Xenopus tropicalis: one gene and its partner. The protein of the gene in region 1 interacts with the protein of each later gene in a pairwise test. Links are inferred from orthologs where the notes say so. Each region holds a gene or a part of one and is shown on either strand. Other genes may lie near its edges. The genes, in order: gabpb1 and tdrd7.

Region 1 (9,799 bases):
TTTGTCCTGTTGGTCTTCTGCTATAGCTCCAGAAATATGCAGATGTATTCACTGAAAATTTTATTCCAATTAGCCCACTTTCTTGGCTCCCATTTACTGGTTTTTGACCCTCTGGGGGAAATAAAGGATAGGCAAGTGGCTAGATTGCACTGATGTATTACTCAGCAAAAGTGAAGCATAGGCATTTAGAGTCAACATTGACCCTGTTTTGCCAATCAATTTAGGTGCAGATATTAATGCCAAATCCAACACGTGCAGATGTATTCATGCATTTTGGCCAGAAAATGTGAATAAAAATCTGCTTGTGAGTTCACAATATAATACAGTTTATATGGTAAAAAACGTATCCATATATTTTTGTTTTTAAGGCACTGTGGCACCTAGCTGTAAAATGTCAAAATCAAAGCTTCACGTTTTTGCTTTGACTCTTACATTAGCATATGATTGTGCAGCACAATTTGTACATTATTTCAGTACCATGTGCTTTATCTATGAACTTGGCCACAAATTTCTTTTCTTACTCGGCTAGTGACGTCTGACTAGCAATTTTTTCTCCAGAGGAAGAAAGTGGATTCTGCAATTCAAAATAATGGTATCATTAATTATAGAGATGAAAGCTTGGATGATTGTCAAAATATGTCTGATCTAAAGTCTTGGTCGTGACGCAAAGACTTCTGCTTTACATTTACTGCGTAGATAGAAAGGCTTCCACTTTTATTCACAAAATCTTGAAAAAAAAAATATCAAAGAACAGATCTTATCAACCAGGTTGGAATAACTGGAATGGCTGAAAATTGCAGCTCAAATTGTCTGCTAGCTTTTTGGTATGTTTAATAAAGACTTTTTCATTTTGAAGTCACATTAAATGTACCGCAAGGTATAGCAGCTAATATCTGAAATCATGAATGAGCACACTGAATGTACAGTATATGAAAACTGTGTATGTTACATAGGTAGCATAGTTATACCTTTTTTTAATTTTTAATGTAATGTTTAACTAGCTGTTTTATTATATATTTGCCAATCTTACACATTTTCCTTGGCCTTGTATATTTTGGTTTCAGGTTCAGTTCCAGCCAAATCTGCATGTCTTTCCATATATGTTTCAAAAATATACAGGAAGGTTAATTGGCTCCTGATAAAATTGACCATAATGTGTGTAAAAGTGATACAGGCCATAGATTGGTAGGGACTGATGTGAATGATGTGTCATCTCTGTAAATACTGCAAAATATGTTGGTGCTACATAAATAAAGAGTAATGATAAATCAAATCTGGGATAGGATAGAAAGCCACATTGTTGCCATTTATCCATTTTTGTGAAAGGGCTTTAAAATATTCTAACACAGGTTACTTCCTAATGCAGGGGGTATTTTTTTCCACATCATGCTTTATTTTATGAACCGTGTCTGTATCGGAGCACTGAGAAGGATGAATGAACCAGAGGGCAGTGGATGGTTCTATCTGCAAAGCTATCCTGATATTGTTAGTCTTTAATGTTTTTTTTTTTGGACAATGCTGAAATATCTGGGGTTTTTTTTTTTTTTTGTTTACAGTAGTAGCCACAGAAGAAGTGGTGACTGCGGAGTCAGTAGATGGTGCAATCCAACAAGTTGTTAGCTCAGGAGGCCAGCAAGTCATTACAATAGTCACGGATGGCATTCATCTTGGCAGTCTCCAGTCTGCAATTCCAACCAGTGGCATTGGTCAGCCAATTATTGTAACAATGCCAGATGGCCAGCAAGGTAAGTCATTTATTTACTAAAAAAATGTACATTTCTATAAACTGACAGGATTTTTTGTGTAGTCTTTACAAAGGGATAATGTCCAGTATTTGGACTTTATGCAGTGGAACATTTTTATTCTAACTTTTATTATCTGCTGCTCTGGTTCATCTAGTTTTGTCAATTACTTTTAAAATTTTCCATCATACTTTAATATGTAATTCATTTTCTTACAACATTTTTAAAAGCACTTGCATATGGTAATGAATATATATGTATGTGTTTTAGTACTGACCGTACCGGCAACAGACATTGCTGAAGAAACTGTAATCAGTGAAGAGCCTCCTTCTAAAAGGCAGTGCATTGAGATCATTGAAAATCGTGTTGAATCTGCAGAAATTGAGGTAACTCATTTCTTAATCCAGTCTTCTTTTTAGCCTGTGGCAGTTTCTAAATGAGTGCTCCGCTTTTTAAGTTTGTGTACTAATGAAGAGACTGCAAATGAATATTAATCTCTGATGCGGTGTAGATCATTACTCCCCTTCTGAGAGCTGTACAGATTTATTTCAGAATGTCCTGAGTATTAATGTATACTAGATGAGGGCATTTTGTGAAATTTATCATACTAGGCTAGTATAAATGTAGCATTAACAGATGATTAAACTGTAATATTTGCTTGATCTGTGTAGGGGCAGGATATTCTATTTTACAAGGTTTTATATCCTAGTAATATTTTGAATTTTCAAACAAATGTCTATAAGGAATTTACAGCAAGGGACTAGGACAGTAAATATTGGAAAACAGAGTTTGCCATTGAATAGTAGATTGGGGACAAGTTTGTAAAACCTTTGTAACACCCATTTTCTCCCATCTTCTTTTAACCCCTAATTTCACACTGTTGTCTTCCCACAGTTCTCTTTATCTGCAAATTTATATACAAATAATTGTCTGAATTCTTTCTCCTCTCATGCTATACACATAAGGGAGTAAGGATTTGGATGGTGGTTATTTTCTGATCTGGAACAGTCCCCAAAAACAGAATGGTGATTAACAAAACAGTGTAACACATTCTGCTTAATTGACCCAGGTTTCGGCATTGATAAACATATCAATTAATTCATACTTTCCTGACTGTAAATAAATTGTTTTTGACAGTCAGGAATATTGAGCTAAATCTTAAAATAGATGGAATTGCAGGTAATCTTTCAAAATTCCCCAGTTTGATCTATTCTAGATCAGCTTATATGTCTATCATGTTTGCCCTGTATTAAGCTAATCAAAAAATACCGTTTTAAAGTTTATTGATCCTATTAACTTTTTTTTTTTTTTATAAAGCTCATTATTCCTCTTTATGGCATTGAAAGCTGATAATTTTTAATTTTAATGTTCCTCTTTATTGTGCAGTATGTGGAAGAGAGATACCTAATGAATATACATAATCAATGATTTGCATCATCTGATTTTTCCATTTACATGATGTGATATCAAGTGCCTTCAGCCATCCCAGGTGTGCAGTTCTTCTACATTATCAGCACTTTGGGTGTTCCCTATAATTTTTGCACCACCTCTTTTTATTGGGATGATCTGTCACACCTGTCTTTAGAATTAAATCTCATGTAAGCATTTTGCTGCCAAATAGCAGCTGGAACATAGTGCTTTGCTTAGAGCTGGAGAGTGCTCTAGAATTATAATGTCTACTGCCTTAAACTTAAACTAAACAGTGTCACAGGCTCCCATGGCAGTGGATTTTATACAGCCAACATGGACTGTATAGGTTTCCAATACTGGGATGTGTCAAATCCTAAATATATATTTGAAAAGGCTCATAGTTGCTTGAGTGGACATTTGTCTTAACACCCAGTGCCTTATTGTGGTGGGTTTATTGTGACATGCATCTTTTTTTTATTTTTAATTGCCTCTGGGATATCTGTACTGGTTTCGGTTTTATCTGCTTTTGCTTTATGGAAAATGTACAGTGTTTTTCCTCCAAAAACAAGGAATACACAGCATCACACAGTAGTGTATCCATGCAAAAACAGTTGTCATTCATGCAAAAAGACTTTTTTTGTACCATGTTTGGCAAAATTTTAAGATTAGCATTATGATAAATTCAAGGGTCTAATGCGCTGAACCTCAGAACCATGTAGGACGGCTGCGGTGAGGAGCAATGAGAACATTTATAGATAATGTTGGGATTTTCTCTGTTTTTATGTGGGTTCAATTGTAACTCTTGTTTAATCTGCCAGATTCCAGAAACTTCTGGATCAGAAATCTATATTGTGAATACTCAAGAGTTCTCTCAGGTACAACTACAGAATTTTCAGAAAAAAAAATGTATTTTTATTTTATGTTTCTGAGAGAATCTCCAAAAACCTTTCAAATCTGTGTTTGTGATTATTTTTTTTTCCTCTTCCCATTTGGGTTTTAATCTTTTTTTTTTTCATGTTTCAAAAACACTGAGTTTGTGGCCGTTGTTTTCATGCATGAAGCCTTTTTTTTTTTTTTTTTTTTTTTTAAATTACGGTTTAGAATGTTTTATTTATTTTTATTCATTTCACTGTGTAAGAGACTTGAAGGTTAAATGAAGAAGCCATATGATCATTTTATATGTAGCAGAGATGCGGCAGCATTCAGAAGCCATGAGTGCACGGCATTCTATACTCGCGTCTTGTTGTAGACAACTGTAATTTCCACAAGTGTAGCAGGTCTGCACAATAGTCTTCTGAAATTGCAGCCTTTTGTATTTTCTAGTAGTGCTGTGCATGTTTGCCACACTTACTGGCCCTACATGCCAAGACTTGTTAGAGAACTTTGGCTGACTTTAGCATACTGCCCAACCATCTGGGTGTGTGGCAAATAAGAGAGCAGTTAGATCAATAATCCTGTGGTCTTGGTGGATAAAGGCTTATTGGCTCTGGCATAAACCTTTTGTCAGTTGCCCAAAAGAAAACTCCTTCTTCTACTTCCTGCCAGATTCCTGCTGTTATGATTGTGTAGACGATTGGACAGAACAATATGAAGGTGGTTTTACAAGCGTCCAAACCCATGGGTCAATCAGTCCAAATACCATATGGGTGAAGACACGGAGTGATTAGTCGCCATGACTCTTTTAAAAAGTCACACAGACTAATCAGCATGCTGCGAAGGACATTTGAGTAGTCACCCCGACTTGTATATTAATCTATGGCCGTTAAATTGGCGTGATTAGTTGCCGCTACCATATTTTTTAAAAGTCGCGGTGACTAATCGCCTTGTGTGTCTTCGCCTCATAGGTTGGCCCATGTATTGCCATCCTTTTAAAGAGATTCCAACTCTCCACAGTGGGAAATGTAGAAAATTCCACTTTTTCACTGCTGAGAAAAATTACTGCTGCTAAATAACATACCTGTTAGCATTAGCTTTATATGGATGCTTCTCCTTGTACTTTTTCCCTCAATTTTTTTCTAGTATCTTTTGAAATAAGTATTTTACCTTACTTTAATATTTATAGGTGTGGGCTTTTTAAACCCAGGGTTTGTGCTATTTCATGCTAAAGTGCAAAGATAAAATGGATTGCCTCAGTTGCTTGATAGTACTTTGTTAAGGGCAAGACCCAAGGTGTCCACCCTTACTGATACTGACTTTTATTATATATAAGTGTTTATAGGATATCTGGAGATACGGGCAGACTAAAATATGGAAGCTGGGTAGGCTCACTTCAAAGTTGCTAGCCATTTAGGTTGGCATATGGTGTGACCCTAAGCTCCGGGACCAGCACAGTTTTAAAGACCAGACAATCAAAGTCATACTGCATGCTTTTAAGTCTGTTTGACTATTTCCATATCATTTTACTCAGGGACTACATAGGGCAACTAATGCAGGATACCTATATTTTACTTTTGTGTACAGGAAAGAGAAACACTTCAGAAGCAACTTGATGAGGCCAACCGTGAAGCCCAGAAGTACCGGCAGCAGCTTCTAAAGAAGGAACAAGAGGCAGAAGCCTACAGACAGAAGCTAGAAGCTATGACCAGATTGCAGACTAACAAAGAAGTTGTTTAAGTAGCTAGCCAGCACGGACTCACTTGTTTTCATTGGAGAAGAAGACTCAAGCTATGCACTGTATGGCTTCAGTTGGTAATAGAAGCGATCCCCTGAGCAAACCTCAGACTTTTATATGTCCCTGAATTATACAAATGCTGGTGTTACAATAGTCACTCTTTGTGAGAAGTATTTAAAATGGAAATACTGTATATAGTCTGGATATTTCCCCCCCCCCCCCCTATTTTTTTCTTACAGTTGGCAGTTAAGTTGATGCTGATTTTCTGAAAGACGCAGAAATAACATTCTGGGTGACTTTTTTTCCAATCGGTTTTTAGTAGAGATTAATTTGACATGTGAAATGCACCAATTGCCAAAGATGTTTTGGTAAACCACGTGCGACCGTTTCTCAAACTGCAATGCTTTCTCCAATCAGATCAACAGCCTTTGAAGTTAACGTTTCCTAGTGGAAATCTCTGTACAGCTTTTCAATTTGTGTCTCTGTTTGAAAACTTTTTTTTTTTTAATTTCACTTTTTTTTTTTCAAGTAAGCAAAAAAATTTTTATATCTTGTTTAACTTCCAGAACATCCAGGTAGATTAACTTGTATATGAAGCTAATATTTTTTAAAGAAAAAGAGAGAGAACTTTTGTACATATGCTGCATGTTTTTGTATATTCTAACTGCATACGTCAGCCTTGGTTATCCTTCAGTGACACAGAACGTACACACACACATACACACATTGAATGTTGCCCAGTAGTGCAGTTTTTTTCTCATGTCACATCCTTCCAGTTTCAGAACTGATAAAGTGACAATATAATTTTACAAACTCCCGCTGAGTGTGTCTGTCAATCATGAACATTAACCTTTTGGTTACTCCTATATCCAGGCTTGGTAACCGCATGAAATAAGAGGTGGTGCATCTGTTCTGAGCATACATTTAAAATCAAACTTGACACCCAGATAATGGAAGTTTTGCATAATGAAGGAAGCTGTTGTACTAAGCAACTTCCCAATATAGATGAATTTAAGAGTTAGGAATTTAAAAGGGATTTGTGAATAAAATTGCTACTTAAAGCAGTGCATGTCCATTGCTATTCCCCACCCTGCTGCTTCTGACTACATGAAGGTCTAAAAAATGTAGCTAGAGTTATTTCTCCTCCAGCCAAGACTCTAGTTCTACAATTCCTTACATTCTGAATGGCCTATTCTTAGCAACTCTTTCCAGCTTTCAAATGGTGGCCACTGTCCCAGCAGCCAAAATCTATTACTCTATGAAGTTATACTTTTATTGTCATTGTTACTTTTTATTCCTTGTGTTTCAATTTAGGCCCTCCTCTGTTCATATTCCTGTCACTTTTTCAAACCGCTGCCTGGTTTCTAGGCTCAGTTGGACCCTGACAACAAGACAACTGCTGAAATCCCAAACTAGTGAGCTGCTGGGGGGAAAAAGTAAAATAATTAGTAAAAAAACAAACAAACCACAAATAAAAAATGAAGACCAATTGCAAATTGTCTCAGAATAGATCATACTAAAAGTTAATTTAAAGGTGAACTACCACTTTAACCGCAGAACACTGTGGAAATTGGAGTCTTGCTACATTGTTTTGGTAAAGCCTGTAGTCAGAACCAGCACTGCAGAGAATAGCAAGGGACAGAAGGATTCTGCTTTCTATAGCAATTGCATTTACTTCTGACTTAAAAACACTGTCAACTTTCAGTAAATGACCACTGGAAAGTTGCTTCAAGTGACTTAAGTTTTCATTAGGCAATATATAATTGTTTCCATTTATAATGCAGTTCCCTTCAAAGAGAGTGTATTTGCTCTGTATCGTAGGAAGACCTCACAAACGACAACAGTTCTGTTACTGGCACAGAGCTGAAACTATGCATTCAGAATTGTTACATTTCATTTAAACCCCATTATGCAACAAATTACTTTATCTCCCTTTTACTTTTCAGTTTTGTTTTTCTTTGATTTATGAAAATAATGTGATGAAGTAAAGAAAATATTACACTATTTGGATAAAATTGTGTTTTGCACTTGAGAGTTTAATGTTTAAAACACAAATTGGAGGTTAAAGATGGATTCTTCCTGTACAGAAGGGTAAAGAAGCCCATGCCTGAGAAACAGAGCCTACTCGCTCTTCAGCAGACTGTAAGCTGTGCTGGCATTTCAGTCGATTTAAACTCTCATGATATGACCAAATATTTATATAAAAATCTAAAATAAAGCGCGTCCTCAGGAACTCCAGAGATGTGCCACTGTTTTACTGAAAATCACAGTAAATGACTTGTTTTATATTGTACTGGAATAAGCTTTTATATTTTGTTAAAGCAGTTGTCTCTGTGTATAATGAGAAATACCTTGAGTAAAAGGGAGTTTACAGTCTTAAATCTATGTGCCTTTACCCTTTCTTATAAATTAAGGTATGTGCCTTTGTCTGTTCCATGCTTTCTTACTTTTCACTTTATTTTCTGGATCACATTTATAAACGAGTCACTGTATATAAAGGGAATTCAGGAAGTCTGCCATTGGCTTATAGCAGGATTCTCAAACCTGTGACTTACCGCCATCATAATTCACTGCAACTCCATACGACAGGTAGGAGACCTGTTAACCAGAGCGCTCAGGACCTGTGGTTTTCCTGATAAGGGATTTTTCTGTAATTTGGATCACCATACCTTAAGTCTACAAAAAATAATTTAAACATTAAATAAGCCCAATAGGATTGTTCTGCAACCAATAAGGATTAATTATATCTTAGTAGGGATCAAGTAAAAGTAACTGTTGTATTATTAGGGAGAAAAAGGAAATAATTTTGAGTCTAAAGGTCGCCACACACGTAGTCGCACGAAAGATCGCTCCCACTCTCCACATACATTCAGGGCTGAATCATCAGATATGGAGGTAGAAACAATAGGAATTCTACCTCCTTCTGCCGATTCAGCCCTGAAGGTAGATTTTGCTCAGGCGCCTTCAATGGTGCCCGATCAAAATCTTTTAACCTGCCTGATCGGCGAGTCAACCAATAGCCACAGCCTTTTGCGATGTCAGTCGCCTCGCCGAGTCAGCATACATGCACAGAATATCATATGAAACGAGGTTTCGTACGATGATATTGTATGGACAGCTTAAGAGATGCCCTTCGTATAAACTTTTTTGGATAATGGGTTTCTGGATAACGGGTCCCATACCTATATTTTTTTAGTGAGTTATTTGCCCACCACCTCCCTGGGCCCCATAAGTGGTGAACCCTGTTAACTAGAAAGAACAGCCCCAAAGGCCAAAAAAAAAAAAAAGGCTAACTAAAGTATCTGTCCTATCATGCCCAAATCTGCAATCTCTGCCTTGACTGGACTTTCCCCTGACAGTTTAATCTAGGGTGACCAGATCACTTCAGGGACACGTCAAGAAATCAAGGTAGAAGGGCTGCACTTATTGCAGTTAAATGTAAAAGCAATCCATGCCCCGAGTTCTGCAAAAGGCATTTATTGGACATGTCCCTTAATTCTCAAGTGATCTGGTCACCCTAGTTTAATCCTAGTACAGATATAGGATCTGTTTTCTGGAAACCTGTTCATCACCCTTAGACTCCAATATAAGCAAATAATTCTAATTTTTAAAAATGTTTTCCTTCTCTCTAATAATAAAACAGTACCTTGTACTTGATCCCAACTAAGATATAATTAATCCTTAGTGGCTAAACAAACCTACTGGGTTTAATTAATGCTTAAATGATTTTTTTAGTAGACTTAAGGCACAGAGGTCCAAATAACAGAAAGATCCATTATTTGGAAAGTCCCAGGTCCTGAGCATTCTGGATAATAGGTTCCCATTCCTGTACCTCAAGGACAGTAAGATGTGTTTTTCATGTGACAGTTGTAGGGTCACAACATATTTAGGAAGGTGCCTATGTTTACAGGAATTTTCCCAGTGATTTAATTTAGACAACAAAGTTGTCATGACAAAGTGAGAAGCAGATTACAGTTTTTCAATGGGTATAGGTATTCTGCACATATGCATATTACTCAGTAAAATGATTTATATC
Region 2 (9,799 bases), on another chromosome or scaffold:
CTTTAGTGATGTCAACTATCTCACTAAATCCATAATCCACATAGCAGACCTGGAATTATATAAAACAAATTATCTATTACTCTATCTTGTTTTAAAAAATGCACTTAGGTCTTTTTTTACATTTGCTCTTACTTAATTTACTTCATAAGCACATGCATCGTGAAAATAGTGATTGCTTCTTAAGATTCAGTAAGAAGCTGCAACCTCAATTCAAACCTTTACTCCAAATGAGTGCCATTCAAGGGATCGCTGGCCGGAGCGCTCAAAAAGAAGCATATTTGCAATCAGTTATAAAATCAGTACAGCATTTATAAAATAAACAATCTTCTGCAGCGCACTGATTTTCTAGCTACAGTATACTTTTTTTTGTGTTTACATCTCCTTTATTGCAGAAATCCAGGCAATATCAAAATTGTTTACTGAATATATTGTCCTTAAATTCGGGAATCAATACTTCTATCAATGGAAAAAAAAGGCTACTAAGACTTAAGTATACCTTTCGACAATTTGCCTGTGCCATTAGTAAGCACTGTCCTTTCCATTAATATTCTCCAAGGAAATCTATTTTTATATTCAATTCTAAAGAACTCTGAAGTTCTTTACAACTTTCAAAACCAAACCAAAACCAGGAAATTTAGTATTGTCCACATGTGGACATGTGAACTTTCATCAGCTAAGGGCTAAGGCACATAAAGACTCTGATTAGCAATCAATATTTGATAGATCACTTCGTATTTACAGGTATGGGACTTGTTATACAGAATGCTCGGGACCTGTCATTTACTGCATAAGGGATCTTTCTGCAATTTGGATCTCTATAACTTTAAGAATAAGTAAACCTTTTTTTTTCTTATCAGTAAAATTACTCTAAATGGCCTCCAGAATTACCTACCTTTGTCCCAGCATTCTCTCTGACCTGGTTCCTCAGTTAGAAGTTAATCATTTTTCTTTGCTTCCTTGTGCAGAGTGAAGCCCTGCCCCCACTTCCTGTTCAGTTCTCTCTTCAATTCGACTACCTTTAGTAGACCTGGAGAGCCTTCTGGGCATGCCTGGAGGCAGCAGCAGCCAGTCTGTGCATTATCAGGGTTTTTTTTTTATGAGAGACCTGAACAGGAAGTGGGGGCGGGGCTTCACTCTGCACAAGGAAGCAAAGAAAAACAATTAACTTCTAACTGAGGAATCAGGTCAGAGAGAATGCTGGGACAAAGGTAGGTAATTCTGGAGACTGTTTAGAGTAATTTTACCGATAGAAAAAAAAAAAAAAAAAGAAGGTTTACTTATTCTTTAAGTCTACTAAAAATCATTTCAATATTGAATAAACTCAATAGGCTTGTTTTGCCTCCATTAAGGATTAATTATATCTTAGTTGGTATTATTACAGAGAAAAAGGAAATTTTTAAAAATCAAAATTATTTGCTTATAATGGAGTTTATGTAATATGGCCTTTCCATAATTCGGAATTTTCTGGATTTCACAAAAGAAATTGCTTGCCAGTGTATCATAAACATCTTCATACTTGTGTGGATGAAACTGTAGTTTAAAATGTCCTGGCTTTAATGCAAACTCCACACAAGCACTATTCTCTATTGTAATTCTATACATTTAAAAAAAAATAAAATAAAATGATGAAAGAGGAATTGGATATTTATAAAAGAAAAACTATAAACCTTGACTTTTTTGCCTTCAATTGCAGATATCTGTGCTCGCAGCCAAACATCTTCCTCTGCTTTTGCAGCCACCAGCTGACCAACCCTTAAAAAGCCAATCTTTGCAGTAGAACTTTTGCTGCAGAAGTCCTTCATTTCATCTTCCATGTGTTCCTGAGCAGCAGAATAGTCACGGCCAATATACCTAAGACATAAATATTGTTACACAAAGGTTAATAAGAAAATGTCAGTTTCTAATGGAAAGAATCTTTTTATCGATAAGCTTAAATTTAATTCATTATAGATTTAAACAGATGAGGAGAGAATAACTGTGAAATGCCTCTATTACCCATCCCTAAAGAAGTTAAAACCATCCCTAAAGAAATCGCTTGACTTGTTAAGAATCAACCATATTAATTAAAATATATATATTGCTTAATTTTTTAAACTTGTATGGAAAAATAAAAAATAAGCTATAAATGGAATCATTAGGAAGCATGTCTTTAATTATTTTATGTTATTTCTAAAATTAAGTGCCATGTAGTAAGAGACACAGACAGATGGAGGTCCCTGCCCCCTAGAGTTAACAGTCTAAGTCTAAGCAGTTGGATAACAAACAAACATAAATAAGAGGTTTGGGCATTGGCCCTTAAATGGAACCTGTCACCCAAAGAAATAATTCCAAATTCTTTTCTATCGTGCTAGTTAAACAACATGAACTTTATTTACTTTATATACATTTTATAAATCTTGTTTACTTCAGTTTGGAATTCACAATGACAGCCAGCAGACAGGCACTATTTTGTGGAAGTTTTGTATTACTTCAAAATCTTGGTTAAGAGCTTAATTAATGGGGGACCTAATGCCCATGCCACACTATTGTAGACCGTGAGGAGGGAAAGGGAATGTGAGGAGGGCAACAACATCTAGGTACTGAATGGAAAGTGAAAGTGATTGACTGTTCCACTTCTATACCTAGAGGCAGACAGGCAATATATGATTGGCAGCTCAGATTTTTAAATAACTTTATAACCGGTATGAATGTTTTAATTACAAAAAAAAAAAAAGTTTAATGTTTACTTTGCAAAGGACTTTTATTATCCAGCGTTTGATTCCTGGGTGACAGGTCCCCTTGACTGTCCATAAAATGTGTTAGTGCTCCCAACAAATAGGATCATTGTTTTTTTTCTTAAGAGATTGAGAGAGTGTTCTCTACAGAGAGAGAGATGGTGGGTACGAATGCTGTGAAAAGATTGGGATTAGTTTTGCCTCAATTTCCATTATTTTCTAGCTACAACCATCCCTATCAGTTCCCATTGCTTTCTGTAGCATTATAAAAGTCTAAACAAGATGTCAGTGGCAGTGTATACAGAAATTCAGTCAAATTGGGGTGACATTGATGAAGTTGCCTGCCCATGGTCCTCCCGCTTGACTTCATTTCCAACTAGCACATAATGTTGGATAATGAGAATAGCACACATAAAAATTAAAGACCTAGTAAAAAAAAAAAATCTAGAAGAGTTCAATTTAATTAATGCATTTTTAACCAATTTGGAGCAACGTGGAAATGGTTATCTGGGGCCTTGGGTAAGTTATCATCTTGAATGTGATTAATTAAAATGGCGACCTGGAAGGCACAGAGGTTGGCAGCTCAGCAGTGAATGAGTGAGCAGAGGAGAGCATGGCAAATGTTCTGTGTCTGTCTTTTTTTTATATATATTATATATATATATATATATATATATATATATATATATATATATATATATATATATATTTTTTTTTTTTTTTTTTTTTTAAATAAACAGATTTGGTCAAGGACTCCGACTGTAGGGATATACACTTAAAATCACAAAATAGGCCTTCACTCACCTTATAACCACATCATTAGTACTGCTTAGTTCCACAACGAGCACAGAGGGAGAAGCCTCAGAAGGTATGACCAAAGGGGGTGGAGTCATATTCATCTCTGGTTCTTCCGGCAACAAGGGTGACTCTCGATCTTGGAGTTTTTGTGGGATATTATTGTTGACCGAGGGATTACTATTTTGGTTTGCCCTTTCAGCTGATTTAGCATAAAGGATAGCTTTAAATGGCTCTTCAGAAATAAGGTCAACTGTGCAAATATCAGTAAGGGAATCCAAATTTAAAACTTCAGTTGGCAATTTCTGCTTAAACATGTCCTCAAAGACTTTGGGTAAAGCGTGATACCAAAGTCCATTGCTATACTTAGTCAATACTTTTGAAATTTTCTGTTTAAGTTCATCTTTGGGGATATTGCCTGAACTTTGCAGAGGAGGTGATGACGGGGTTGAATCAACAGGCACATTTGGCTTAGCTTGGTTGTTACTGTGATTTTGAACATTCTTTGTAAAGGAGGGTTGCTTTATTGCAGTTGAATAAAGAACCATTTCTGTATGGCCCATGGTTACGAGTTTCTGAACCTGAAATAAATAAATATTTTTGAAAAACATTAATCAAGGTTATTTTTAAAAAGGGATTTAGATAAAATCATGCATGTTAACTACACACACAGGACAGTTTATCACCCACAGGAAACAGCCTTCTTCTAGTGCCCTAAATCCTTCAGTGTTGGAACCCACACATGCAAAACACTTTACATATGGCAATCCCATTTTATCACTTGAAAATTAGTGCTTCTGCATTTTTAGTCAACATGGTGCCCTATGTGTCATTGCCCCAACAGTGATTATGAAATCTAAATACAGGACTTTGCCTACATAAAGTTTCTTAAAGGGGACCTGTCACCCAGGCATAAAAAGCTGTATAAAGTCTGTTTCAAATTAAACATGAAAACCAAATTTTTTTATTAACACATACAAACACATTATAAAGGCATTTAAAAATCCCAGCTGTCCATGATATATTGCCTGCCCCGCCACTATGCCTCAGGCGCAACTTTAAGTTTCCATTCAGCACTACCTAGATGTCACTGCAATTCTCAACTGCCTGCTTGTTATAATAGTCTAACTCCAAGACTAAAGGAAACAAGATTTATAAACATTATATAGTGTAAGTGAAGTTTGTTTTGCTTAATTAACATGGTAGAAATAAATTTGGAATTTTTTTTGAGGTGACAGGTCCCCTTTAAAATGCACCTCATTAAAAATTTTACTAATAATTTAATAAAACAGAATTAACTAAGAAAAAAATCAAAAGTTATACCATGCATATGTGTGTCCAACTTGGAACCTGTTTCAACATTTCACCACCCAAATCCTGTTTGTAGGTCTCCTTGTACAACTGAGGCAACTTCGACAGCCATAAACCATTACTGTGCTTGTTCAGAAGCTCTTTCAGGTTATTTTGGATCACAGAGAGGTCACAGCGAGGTTGACCACTGCCAGGAACAACACTTTTCAAACTTTGTGTATGATTGGCTAAAACAAAAGGAACAACATTAAAATACAATATTAAAAAAAAAAAAAAAGAAAAACAAAAAGGACCAGCATCTAACACAGGTATATGTTCCATTATCTAGAAGACTTTGAACTTAAAGGAAAGATACCCTGATACACTGATAAAGATACACTGCAGGTCTCTATAAAATATATATATTATATACATTTTAGTATGCGCTGCTGGTTAAAGGAAATGTAACAGAACATTTTTTAAGTAAAAAAGCTATTTTACCCTGCACCAATAACTGCCCTATCCTGCAAACCACTTAGTATTTCAAATGCTTTAATAGAAAATACCTGCTAAAACTTTGGCGATAAGGCAAAGGAAGGAGCTGCATCCACTATGCGACAATCAATTGATCGCGCCTAGCCTGACTCCTTCCTATACAATTAAGAAGGCTAGGCTCACTCAATCGATCGTCGCATAGTGGTTGCTGCTCCTTCCTTCGCCATATCGCCGTAGTTCAATTGACAGGAAGCCAAGTTTTAGCAGGTATTTTCTATTAAAGCATTTAAAATACTAAGTGGTTTGCATGATAGACAGGCGCTGCGGAATATGTTGGCGCTTTATAAATACATGTTAATAATAATAATAGGGCAGTTATTGGTGCAGGGTAGAATAGCTTTTTTACTTAAAAAATTTTAGTGTTACTTTTCCTTTAATCCTAAACAGAAAACTGCCATTTTAAGTACTACGTGCCTCGCCCCTAGCTCATAAGATTCACCGTGCTCGCACATAAACAAAGGGTACGCATATATTCTGGGTTACCTCAGCTAACTAATGAAGATGCTGTTTTTTATTCGCACATTTCTTCCTGTTACAGTTAGAGCTGCATTATTTCCTGTCAAATGATCTCTGAAGGAGTACACGAACCATGACAAAATGATAGGTCATAGTAAAAGATGTAAAATGGCAGAATTTACCGATATATATACTCCAGTTTGGTAAGAATCTTTAATAGTTTTCTTATTAAAATATGAATTATCTGTTAAGTACTTGTTCTAAAAGGTACAGTTTCCTTTTTGCTTCATCATTGTTTTTCAACCCCTTGAATCACAGTTGCTCTGTACTAATGAAAAATGGTCTCCAACCAATCCTTGCAGGACTCAAATTTGAATGGGCAGATAGGTCTAATACATAAGTGGGGGCTATCTCATTTTACCTAGGATATGTATTACAGAATTTGGCTTGGAGTTATTTTGAAGGATCTTTCTCTAAATGCAGCTTTGAGTCAGTTATTTTAAGGTTGAAGACACACAGAGCTACTAGTAGCAGCTACATGTCACAGCTGCAAAAATTGACAATGCTGATTTTTTTTTTTTTACCGATAATTGTCTCTGTGTTTTAGCAGAGGCAATTCTTAGTACTGTCTATGGAAAGTTATTTTCTGGGGTTTAGTAGCCATGACAAGTAGCTGCTACTATGTAGCTCTGTGTGTCGTTGCCCTAAAAGGAGTTCACTTTAATATAACTTATAGGCAAAGGGAACATTCCCAGTTAAAACTAACTGTCCTGACATGAAATATTATTTCCACAAAAGCTCTACCTTTAAGAATGTTTTACAAAGATCGGTACAGCTACTTTCTAGAGATCTTTATATTTTTGTTGCAGGTTATGCAAATAAGTATACATATAAACAAGGGATGGACTAGTTGCAGGATGGGTTTCCAGACTGAACCAAATCCCAAGATACTTAAAACCAAACCAAAAACTTAAATAGCCAAACCAAATCAGAAATCTTGAAGAGGATGGACCCATCTAAGCAATGTTTCAATGGGTCTTTATTCTTTATGTTTTTCAAAATTATCAGACTGTCTATCTGCAACTGATAATGCTTGACTAAATGAGGCTATGCATGCAATGAATTGGATAGGCCACCTTGGTTAGGGAGGAAAGGATGGAGATTTAAATAAAACATGCTCTTACAGGGAAATAGTCCCTGGCATTTCAAGGTACAATGGTAAAAACTGTCTACAGCATTTGCCGTAGTTTACAGATTCTGGGTCTGTGTTACAGGCTGTCTGTTCAGACTAAAATGTTATCTCCCAATGCATCATATCAGGGGCTTCTGCTCTGATAAAGAGTTATCAGATGTTTCTCTAGTATTAAAGGGGTATTTCATCTTCAAATTAATTTTTAGCATGATGCAGGCAGTGACATTTTTAGACAATTTGCAATTGGTCTTCATTTTAATTTTTTTGTGGTTTTTAATTGATTTAGCTTTTTGTTCAGGAGCTCTCCAGTGTGCAATGTCAGTGGCTACATGGTTGTTAGAGTTCAACTAGGCACTGGTTTAAGTGAAAAAATGGTTCATGAAAAAAAGAGGGACTGAATAGGAGTATAAGTAATACATAGTGACAACAAAATTAAAACTGCAAACTCACAGATCAATAGTTGTTTGGTTCTCTTTGCAGGAAAGAGGCAGAAGAGGAAGGCGCGGGAGGGGGGAGCTGGAGGGAGCCGCAGGGGAACAGGAGGAAGTTGCTGGGGGAGGGGAGCCACAGGGGGGGGGGAAGCTGGAGGGAGCTGCAGGGGAACTGGAGGAAGTCGCTGGGGGGGAGGGAGCCGCAGGGAGGGGAGCCTGGCAGCGCACAACAAGCTCGTTCCATCTTCGAATCCATATTGCTTCATGGTGGATGCCAGGACCTGGCAAATGGAAGTATTGGCATTCTTCCTTAATCAAATTATTGGTTGCTCTTTTGGTGCTTTGGTAGTCCGTGGGTAACCTGTGCAGAGACGGATACCCAATCAGTCATTTATGTAGAATAAGCTGTCCTCTTTGGTGGCAGCTTTTCTGTTCTCCATACTGTTCCAGGCCCAGCCAAGTTCTTCTATAGAAGAAATCTGATACCATCCTCACTCTTGGCCTTCAGCCACCCTCTTGTCCTTCTTGGCTTTTCCTGTCTGTTTTTTTACATTTGATATGAGCTTTGGTAGGCTGTGCTGCAAACCAGGTCCTTACCCTTGTACTAAAACAGATATACGTGTCCTTGTTTCTTTGCAATGGATGCTTGTGTTGTATCTAGTAAACAGGATCCATGCATCACATAAAATTGGTTGCATTCTTGGGTGCTGGTTGTAGTTTCAAAATATATGTGGCTGCATTTCCCACCCTAGGAAATTTGAATATATAAACGCTCAGCCTTACTGTTCACACGGCACGATGCATGTGTGTGCTGTGGTTTGAATAAAGGCTGAAGCAGTTCATCTGCGTGAAGGTGCTTTCCTCTTTTTCTGTGATTTCCCACTCTAGGCTTATACTCGAGTCAATACGTTTTTCCAGTTTTCTTAGGTAAAATTAGGTACCTCGGCTTATATTCGGATCGGCTTATACTCGAGTATATACAGTAATTTAAAAACTATACAAAAATAAAGACTACTTGATAAGCTTCTAAAAATATTAAATTCTATAACATAGCAAGAGTTCGCTGAAAGGTGAACTAACCCTTTAAGCAAAGCAACATCACACACCTATCTTTTTTCAGAGCTAATGTATTTTTCCTATCTGTAGACACATTTGGCCAATGTGAACATCAGGTGGCGTTGCTAGAAAATTGAGTATATTTTTGTATTGTCTAAAATATCGGATGTCTTGGACACAAAAAAAAAATGAATTAGTTTTTAGTGTTTACATATACTTTAAAAATAATTCCATAAAAAAATAGATGAATGCTTTGAAATTCATGTGAATGTGCTAAATGACAGTGTGAGCTTTGTTCATCATTTAAGATCAAACAAACAAAAAAAATGTATTATTTGCAGTATACATACCATTTGAATCTGTCATAGGAGTGGGATTCAAGAATGAGTTAACCTCCCTCTGAAATCGTGGTGGAAGTGTTACTTTTCTCTCAGGCCTAGTAAAGACAAGAGATACAGATGAACCTATCAAGACAGTCAATTAAATATTTGATTCTAAATATTTTACAAAAATATCAAGATCAAAATCACTGAAAAATCTAAATTTTGAAACTCAACCAGATAATTAAAATGTATTTTTGTCATCTTCCATAAAATAGATTTTGAAGAGATCAAAAAGCTGATTAAAACAAGAGATATGACATTTTTAGAGATGCTTCATTAGAAGGTAATTCAGTAACAGACTATATTACACATCAGACTTTAGTATTGTTGTATTGCAGACTAATAGATAAAGTTAGATGTTCACTAATATGTGGAAGCATACAGTATTACAAGTTAAAATGAACACAGGGAAGCACAACTACTACTCTGTGGTTGCGTAGGAAGTCTGGTTGCTATAAAACTCAGAGCATCTAAAACAAAGACAGAATTCTGAACAATCCATCTTGGGTTTTTTTTTTAATCCTGACTTCCGCTTAAATAAATTATTAATTCATGATCATCTTTGGTCAATCAATACATTTTACTTTCTTTTTCAAATGTTAGCCCCCACGCACATGACTTTTGTACAACACTGTAACATGCCTTAATAGGGACAGCCCAGTCCGATTTTAAAAGTGCCTGTCAAGATTTTTTACTCTGGAAATCCAGACAGGAATCTGTGCTGAATGACACGACGGACAACCAATCACCACGTCATAGCCCCATCTCTTGACATCATGTGTCGACCCATAAAAGTCATTGTCCCTTCCCAATGTCTTGCAATATGCTTGACATGAATAGAGAGTACCACTTTCCCTGATATTTGACTGTACACTAATTTATGATTAGTGTACCTACAGTTTATGCTTGGTTTTACATGAAAACTGT

The links.
Region 2: the proteins of gabpb1 (region 1) and tdrd7 interact in binary tests that used the Homo sapiens proteins (3 or more experiments, as listed by UniProt). The two-hybrid records come from large-scale screens. The link is inferred for Xenopus tropicalis from reciprocal best matches to the Homo sapiens genes GABPB1 and TDRD7.

The regions. Positions count from the first base shown.
Region 1 is NC_030679.2:104,970,466-104,980,264, forward strand, and holds the end of gabpb1 (GA-binding protein subunit beta-1), read left to right. Parts: intron 1-1,556; coding exon 1,557-1,745; intron 1,746-2,012; coding exon 2,013-2,128; intron 2,129-3,128; exon of another isoform or gene 3,129-3,231; intron 3,232-3,970; coding exon 3,971-4,027; intron 4,028-5,612; coding exon 5,613-5,765; 3' UTR 5,766-6,390; downstream 6,391-9,799.
Region 2 is NC_030677.2:107,344,209-107,354,007, reverse strand, and holds part of tdrd7 (tudor domain-containing protein 7), read right to left. Parts: intron 8,926-9,799; coding exon 8,840-8,925; intron 5,048-8,839; coding exon 4,833-5,047; intron 4,091-4,832; coding exon 3,519-4,090; intron 1,852-3,518; coding exon 1,668-1,851; intron 50-1,667; coding exon 1-49. UniProt on the Homo sapiens protein: Component of specific cytoplasmic RNA granules involved in post-transcriptional regulation of specific genes: probably acts by binding to specific mRNAs and regulating their translation.